2 linked regions of the Macaca fascicularis genome follow. The protein of the gene in region 1 interacts with the protein of each later gene in a biochemical or structural test. Links are inferred from orthologs where the notes say so. Each region holds a gene or a part of one and is shown on either strand. Other genes may lie near its edges.

Region 1 (3,401 bases):
GGTTCCACCTGATGGAAGGAGTATGACTTAAAGTACCCTCTGCAGTATGAGACTAGGTCAAAATGAGAGGGAAATAAGTACCAAATATACCGTCTTCTCACTTGGCATACAAACTGAAAAAAACCACCAACCAACCATTTCTTTAGTGATAAAAATACAGTTCTTTTGTGAGCATGGAAACAATACATGGAATCTGTTTCTTTGCATGAAAAGTAGCATCAAGGGAAAAGGACTCAAATTCTGTTGCCACCTTTCGGTTAACCCGGGTAAGAATGTGCATAAATTCAAGCTTGTCGGCGTACTGTTTCAGCATGGCACAAAGCGACTGGATGAACCAGGAGCCATCCTTTGAATTTCGCCAAGAATAATAACCTAAAAGGCAAAATACAACGAAAATACCATGGATAGCTGATTTTAGTTGATTCTATAAATTATTATGTAGTCATAAAGGCAAGAATAAGCATAAACCCACAAGTCTTATTAGTCAAAGAAAAAAAAAAGACACCTTTGGTTTCAGAAGAAATGATGCTGAAGAAGGAAGAATGTGTGCTATGCGTACAGCCCCTGCTTTCAGCAAAGACAGGGGCCGGGACCAGCTTCACGAACACTGAATTATTCAAAGTTTTACTTTTTGGACTCCCCTTTCAATAGGCAAGAACAGCAAACACACAGAAGATGCAAAAGTAAAGATGTATAAAAAGGATCATTTTAAGTAGCACAGTGTTCCAATCAGATTTCACCTTATTTTAATACTGACTTAGTCTAGAAATAAATTGCTTTGAGTGTCCTGCTTGTCTACAGAGCATCTGAATAAAGTATAATAAACACACTACCGAGTATTCAAAAGTTCTAAAAAGGGAAAATAGTGTATTTATCATACTTTGTTTTCTAGGTTAAATGTTAGACCCACTGCTTTTAACTTAGAGGTACTTTGCTTGGAAAGATGCCTAGAGGATAAAATAAACCATATTGAGCATATTTTAAAATGCCACACTGCTTAAGAATACATTTACTTTAAGTTTCCAAACTCTGACACCCTGAGTTAGTTGTGTAAGTAAATGGTGGTATAATCAACAAATATTTATTTAGACGATGTGCAGCGGAACTGTAAAAAAGTGGAGGTTAACGGCATATTCATGTATCATTTTTTACCTTCTTTATTTTCTCCCACTCCACATCTATCCTCTTGTATACCAGTCATGTTTATCTTTTTTATTTACTACCTTTCAAATAATTCCTGAGAAACATACCTCTCTTCTTCTATAAGATGCAGCGGAAGCTCTGACTTGGCCTCTGTTGCCACATAAGTCCAATGAATGACATCGTGCTAGTCTACTCTATGTATGCATTTTTTTTTTCTTTTTTTGAGACGGAGTCTCGCTCTGTCGCCCAGGCTGGAGTGCAGTGGTGCAATCTCGGCTCACTGCAACCTTTGCCTCCCAGGTTCAAGCAATTCTTCTGCCTCAGCCTCCCAAGTAGCTGAGATTACAGGCATGTGCCACCACACCCAGCTAATTTTTTTGTATTTTTAGTAGCGACGAGGTTTCACCATGTTGGCCAGGCTGGTTGTGAACTCCTGACCTCAAGTGATCTGCCTGCCTTGGCCTCCCAAAGCACTAGGATTACAGGCGTGAGCCACCGTGCCTGGCTATGTATGCATATTTTCTAGCCAAACTTTTGGCTAAAGATAACTTTTTGAGACTTCTCTTTGATGAAGGTTCTCTAAAATATAAACAAGTTTTGATATCTTTAGGGATATCAAAATCTTGACAGTCTCTGAAACACACTCTTCATTGTATAATTCTGATTAGTCACAGTGTAATTCATTTAAAATCCACATGTAACATTCATTATGTGTAACTTTCTCACCAGGTGCTGTGGAGTATGCATACAAGAAGTCGGCCTCCACTGGGATTTTATGACACGCCATGTCATCCTCAACACCACTGTCTGTCTCAATGCCACAGTCCAGTTCTGTGCCACGGCAGGCCTGGGTGTTAGAAAATAAATATTTATTTATAAAAATTTGTGTGTGAACATGTAACTTATTCCTAAAAACGTTATGTAAAAATGGATGTTAATTATGCTGAGCCTTTTTGATATAAGTATAAAATTAAAATTTACTCTGTATCTTTTAAGTGGTAGTTTAAATAAATGAAAAATAACAATAGTTCATTAACTTCAGGAAAAAAACTACAAATCCTTTGGATAATTTCCAATTAAGAAAAGTAACCCCTGCTTAATCGTCAACAACCAAATCACTCAGTTATACATTACCTGAATAATGAAAAGTTTGGGTTTTCCAGTTAGACTTCTACAACAATCCCCTCTGAAAAAGCTTGTAATTTTTTTCAGGTCAAGAGGTCCATTTGTTCCAAAAATTATTCCTTCTTCACCATGGCTCAGAAGCACACAAACAAAACTGCTCCTTTTGCTGTGATCTTCTTTAGAAACTGGAAAGACATTTGCAAATAAAAGGAAAAAAATCCATGACTTTATTCAACAACTTCAGATATACTGTATGGGAACATGATGAAGAAACTGAGAATAAAACTGAGAGATCATCTTAATCTAACCTGGGGCACAGCAACACATCTCAAACTATTTTAGGAAGTTGGCATAAATAACTTTTTTTTAATTTCTTACTAAAGTATGTAAGATTAGGGTTAGGTACAGTATAATTCCACAATTCTCATATTATACATGTAATTATTGCTAGACCATAATATAAAATTGTACAATGAAGTTCACTCTTCTAATTGTTTCTTCTTACCATTACGCATCAATTCCACAATTTCTTCACGTGTAAGATCGTTTTTATTCCTGACTTCATATTTCAAGTTTATGAATGTTTCCCTGAGGTTTGCTGCATCAACATCTGTACCAGACCGAGATGCCATTCCTTGGAACAGAAAGAATTACTTTTAATTGTATTGAAAGCAAAGAATAACTACTTTGAAATGAAATTAACTACCTAGCAATTCAAAAGTCCACAATAAATTCTTCCTTTTAAATGGTAAGAGAACTCTAACTACTTTGAGTTTGGTGACACAAAATCTCTTCAACTTTGTAGCTTATATTTTATAATATAAGCTTATCAGTGTTATAGCCAAAATGATCTTTCACAGCTGTTTAGGCAGGTGAAAAACAGAAACAAATGTCTAACACTAGGGGCTTGGTTAGACAAGTTACACTCACTTATATAATGGGATATACTATGTTGTCATTTTCACAGATAAAATGTTGCCATGGGAAAATCATCATATTTAAAAAAAATAAAACTAGAAAACAATATGATCCTATAATACACACACACATCTGTTATACTCAGAGGAACTGCATGTCTCTGATTCTAACTTCCCAACAATTTTAAGATAGCATTACAACATTTATAGTGTCTT
Region 2 (5,243 bases), on another chromosome or scaffold:
CCTTTTTTCTCTGTCATGTAACACTGGAGAAGGAGGTAAGAAGTTTTCGCTAAGCCCCAGGACCAAAGTGGTCCATGTTGTCTCCTGATGGTGCTCAGCTTCAGCCCTGGCAGAAGGGCAGGCCCTAGAGAAACTGGTGTGGATAGGAAAGAGCTGAATAGCAGCTTTGCGTGGGGGTTTGGGAAGGTGGCAAGGGGTGAGGGGAGAGGAGAAAGCAGAAGACAGCAAAATTGTGTCATTGGCCTGCATAGCACAGAACTGGTGCCTGAGAATGAGGGTCAATGAATAAACGAGAAACCAGCCTTTCCACTCAACCAAGAGGTATTTATTCAGTTGCTGGCACCTCTCCCAGTGTAAATCTGGACTCGGCTCTGAGAAGGTGGTTCATCACAGCGGGGGCTTAGTTTGCTTTCTGTAGTTAGTGGCGTTTCATGGTTTTCTTTATCCAGCGTACAAAGCTTGAGACTTTGGTGCAGACTCGTGGAGGCTTGCCATTTCTTTGTCCATAGGAGACAATGCCCTGGGCCACCTTGTTACACACAAGGGGGCCTCCAGAGTCCCCCTGTGAATAGAGAGTGGAAGGACTGAGCTGATGCTCCTCTGGGTCCTGCCCTCTCTGCCATCTCAAGCCCCCACTTAGAAAAGGCCAACTTGCACAGCGTGCATGTGGGAGATGAGAGGGCAGGGCAGGCTGCTGGTGGCCCCCAGCTGCCAAGCTCTGGCTCTGGAAATTGTTACTGCTTCACCTCATCCCAGCGGCCAGCCTCCGTCATCTCCCCCAGATCCTGAGATTGCAGGAATGTGGGACCGTTGGCTGTTTAAGGACCCAGAAGTGGGCAAGGAGGGCTGATATCCACCATGGAGGACCAGCCCATTAACCACGTTGGGTACTGACCTCTGAAGACACACCTGGTTATAATTACTGCATTCCCAGTGGGCACAGTTTCCTAATATCTGTGACCTGGAGTGGGTAGAGTGTTGCAAATTCATCCTTCCAAAGGAGCACCATCCACCATAAGCCTCCTTGTAAGTTTGCAGAGGCCCTAATTTCTCCCCAGCTCTGTCTAGTCCCCTTTTCTCTTTCCAGAGAGAAAGATCACAGTCTAGTGGGTGAAGGAGTCCCCCACTACTTAGGTCTGCAGGTCTCAGATCTTCCCCAAACATCTTTCTCCCCAGAGCCAATCCAGGTAGATGCATAGTCTCACCTTAAAGGAAGCCTTTTGAATCTCTGGGTCCCCCACGCACAACTCAACAGTACTGTCGTAATAACGGCCTAAGCGGGATTTGCACGTTTGATCTTCCTCCACTGTCAACTTCACCTCCTGCAGTGTGTGTGCGTATTTTCCATCGGGGGTCGTCTGTCCCCAGCCGGCCACATCGCACGCCTGCCCTGGCTTCACCTGGGCCTTGTTCCTAGGTAGCCTGAGGGGCTGCACAGCTGTGGTCCGCTTGGCCTTTCTCTCCAGCTGGTGGGGAAGAGGCAAGAAAGTTCAGGTCAGCCAATGAACTTCTGGGCCCTGACACAGTGATGGGACTATGCTGTCTTCTCTCTCCTCTGAGGCACAGGAATTAACCAAAAGGCCAGGATGGAAAGGAGGGAAGGGCCTGCATCACAGTGGGAGTGGAACCAACCGGACTTCTTGCTCAAGAAGAGCAAGAGTGGCAGGAGTGTGCCTCACCTGTAGTAGCATGATGTCGTTGGAAAAGTTCTCAGGATTATAGGCTGGGTGGGGGATGGCTCTTTTCACAGGGATAATCTGCTGGGTCCGCTCCTGTTCCTTGATATTGTGGGCCCCCAAGGTGACATTTATGGAGCTGCACAGAGAGCAGAGTGAGGATGGGGGCGGAGTCACAGAGGACACAGCCCAGAGACAGTGAAGAGCAGGTGACAGCTGGGGCAGGGCTGCAGCTGAGGGGAAATTAAGGGGACAGTCTGTCCCCAGGAATTGGAATTCTGGTAATTGCACCATGTTTCTCAGGGGTCGGTTCCCCCTTGAAACACCGGTGGAATTGCTTCAGTTTGTATTCTTATGCCAAAGTATGCCCCCGGTTCTAAATATGGCAGGGTTGGTCACTCTGCTGTTTCTTACTTCAGCAGCGCCTCTGGAACCAACCTTCCCCCCTCTCCACAAACTTACCTGCCCTTTTCTCACCCTCTAAGGAGCCCTCCTGGCATATGTGTTCCCAGGAGCCCAAGGAGCTCCTTGGGAAGAAGGCAGGGGTCTCTGTGGAGTGTTTCCGGGAAAGTATGGGCTGTTTTCTGCTCCTCACCTTCCCCAACAGTGAGCAGCTGTCAGCACGAAGTCCTCTCGTATCAGGAAGCCACCGCACCTCTTCAGAGACATCTGATCCCAGATCATAAGATAAGCCATGTAGGGGCGGGAGTGGGGCTTGGCCTCATGTCCCCCGATGATCTCCCCTGAAGGAAAAGTCTCTCTGCTTGTGTGCACCCACGGAATCTGCTGGGTGGGCACCTGCTTGATGGCTCCAGAATTCCTGGGCATTTGGGAACCTGGGATAGCCTGGAGTTGGGAGGGGCCTGGAGGAAGGGGTTTCAATTTCCTGCTCTGTAAAAGGGAAGAACAGCAGACTTTGGTCTGTAAATCTTTCTTCCATATGTAGTCGAAGGCAAGCATACCTGTCTTAGGGACAGTGAAATCCCAGAGGCTCCTGATCATTCCTTTCCTGACTTTGCTTTGTTTCAGGTGAGTTTCCAAGACCTACGAGTCCCATGGTTTCTAGGATAGTGCTGCTTTCTAATAGCCAGGGCATAAGTGGAGGGATCTAGATACTGTCATATGCTATTTCCTAGAGCCTGACATGTAGTGGGTGCCCAATAAATGTTCATGGCTGCATGATGGACTGGCTCCAGTTAGCCTCTGGATGAGGGCTGGCAGAGCAGTGCTGGTGGAATTCTAGAAAACGGAAGTTCAGGCTTGCCATAGTGCCTCATTCTTGGAAAGAGGGGAGCCACCAAAGGCCAGGGAAGAAAAGCAGAGTTGGAGAATGGGACTGAGCAAACACACTAACAGTGTTCTGAGGACAGTGATTGCACCAGTTCTGCTGTCAGCTGAGCTCTGGGTTTCTCTCCTAAGTAGACGGTGAGAGAAGGACCTGTGTTATCCCAGAAACAGAAGCCAGGCCTACTCTAGAATAATTTAATATTTCTCTTTTCTAGTTTCCCATCCTCTGCCATTTACTTCTAGGAAAGTCTCACTCTCCAGGTGACAAAGGTGGGCTCTGGAGAGGGGATAGTACCCACTGGCTCTTCTTGAGAACGGCCTTCTGCTCTGCCATTCCTGCTGATAGCTTATCCAGCATCACACCTGGGGGGTCTTGGTACAATGGGAGCTGGAGTTCAGAACATTCCTGGTAGATAGATGGATCAGGAATGTGGAGAAAGGGCAGGAGACCTATGGGATGGGGTTGGGCCCCCGAGGGTGGAGACGATCACTCACCTGCATCTGTCCTGCGCAGCAGGAGGAAGGCCAGCAGGAGCAGGATTGGTTGCATGTTCTCAGAAAGGCTGTCCTGGTTGGAGCTGCTGTTGTTTCCTCCTTGCTCTCTTTTAGCTCTTGGGAGAGGAAAGAGGTGGAGCAGGCTCAGTGACTTCATGTTCCCCTCTGGTTTTGTGGTGTCTCATCACAGATTTTCTGTGAATGCTGCCCACCCCCACTGCTTCTGCCTGATGACGTCCTCTGGGTGCTTGTGTGAAAATCATGCAGTGACCACATCAGCACCCACAGCTGATGACTCAGAGTAGACTACCTATTCAGCCCAGAGCAGGAACCCAAGCATATGAAGTGAACTGTAGGATATGGTATCAGCCAGTAGAGGTACTGAAGCACCAGAAACCTGAGTTCCCAGTGATAGAACCCCAATGCCTCAAGGCCATGCTGCTAAATCCATCAGGATAGTTTCTTTAGCAGTTTGTGCTGGAACCAAGCATGTTGGAGATGTGTCTCCTTCCCTTAGAGAGCTGACCGTCTGGTTGAAGAGACAAATGCCAGGAGCCAGAGTACAGTTTGGGGAGGGCCATGGTAGAGCAATACACAAGGTAGTAACAAAGTATGGCCACCATCTACTAGACCCATCTAGCAACCCATTTATTATCATAGCTTCCTTTCTAGGGAATTTCTAACATCCTTTATTTAGTTACAAATATTTAGTGTGAGAGTTCACCTCTTTTCTGAACGCTTTCAATAAAAGTCCTGTACTTGACATTTTATTGGGCTAGATTAACAAATTGCTAGGAGTTGAATCCACTTTGGGTAGGCTGGGGTCAGTCCACTCAAGCCACTAGAACCAAGAATGAGAAAGGGCTGGTTCTCTAAAGGACGTTTGTAATGCTAAACTGCTGATACCATGTGAAGTGAGGAAGCATGCCAGGCAGCCAAAGATAAGTAGTTGTCTTTTTTAGTATTCTGTCTCCTGTCCAGAGAGCCACACTTCTTACATAGCAGGCTCAGCACATAATAGGCACACAGTAAACATTTGCTAAACAAACTACACTAATGCTATCGTTATGATGGATGTGAAAGATGGTTGTTTCTAAACAGCCTGTGCCCAATTCTATTAAAAAAAAACTAAATCTCTCTACGTGGTTTGATTATTGTGATTTGTTTCCATCTTTGTATTTTCTGTATTTTACAATTTTTCTATGAAGAATGGTATATCTCAAAAATAGAATTCCAGTGTAAATGTCTTCCTTGTCAATAGCAAGCCAACTACATTTATCAGACTTCTGTTTTTTGAACCTAGCTTGCCCCATAGTAGATGTTTTAAAAATATTTTTTTCTGATTATAGTCATAACATATGTTTATTAAGAAAATTTGGAAAGTAGGAAGGGAAAATATCACTTATTAATCTGTCTCCCACAGACTGACTGTTACCATAAGCAGTGTGTTTTAAATACTTGGGATCACATTGTACAGACAATGCAGTTTATTTTATCCTTGCTTAACCCTACAAATTAAGCATTTCTAAAATTATTCTACTAATAATTGTAGAAATCTATTAGTTAATACAACTATAGTCTTTCTTTCCTAGGCATTAAAAAATTTAACATGCAAGTAATTTTTAAATAATTTGAGCAAAGAGAAAATAATTAAAGTTACCTAATTTCTCATAATTCACTGATAACCATCTTTAATGTCTTGAAGTATGCTCTAGCACATTTTTTCTCATGTAATATCTGTCTTTTTTAAAATTAAAAGGGGATTATGCTAAACATAAGTTTGTG

What was found.
Region 2: of the proteins of CASP3 (region 1) and GZMB, one has a biochemical effect on the other in vitro, tested with the Homo sapiens proteins (2 studies listed by BioGRID). The link is inferred for Macaca fascicularis from reciprocal best matches to the Homo sapiens genes CASP3 and GZMB.

The regions. Positions count from the first base shown.
Region 1 is NC_088379.1:189,403,315-189,406,715, forward strand, and holds part of CASP3 (caspase-3), read right to left. Parts: intron 2,903-3,401; coding exon 2,774-2,902; intron 2,454-2,773; coding exon 2,278-2,453; intron 1,991-2,277; coding exon 1,870-1,990; intron 373-1,869; coding exon 143-372; 3' UTR 1-142. UniProt on the Homo sapiens protein: Thiol protease that acts as a major effector caspase involved in the execution phase of apoptosis. Following cleavage and activation by initiator caspases (CASP8, CASP9 and/or CASP10), mediates execution of apoptosis by catalyzing cleavage of many proteins.
Region 2 is NC_088381.1:92,432,965-92,438,207, forward strand, and holds GZMB (granzyme B), read right to left. Parts: upstream 3,544-5,243; 5' UTR 3,514-3,543; coding exon 3,459-3,513; intron 2,420-3,458; coding exon 2,272-2,419; intron 1,816-2,271; coding exon 1,680-1,815; intron 1,467-1,679; coding exon 1,206-1,466; intron 563-1,205; coding exon 419-562; 3' UTR 304-418; downstream 1-303. UniProt on the Homo sapiens protein: Abundant protease in the cytosolic granules of cytotoxic T-cells and NK-cells which activates caspase-independent pyroptosis when delivered into the target cell through the immunological synapse. It cleaves after Asp.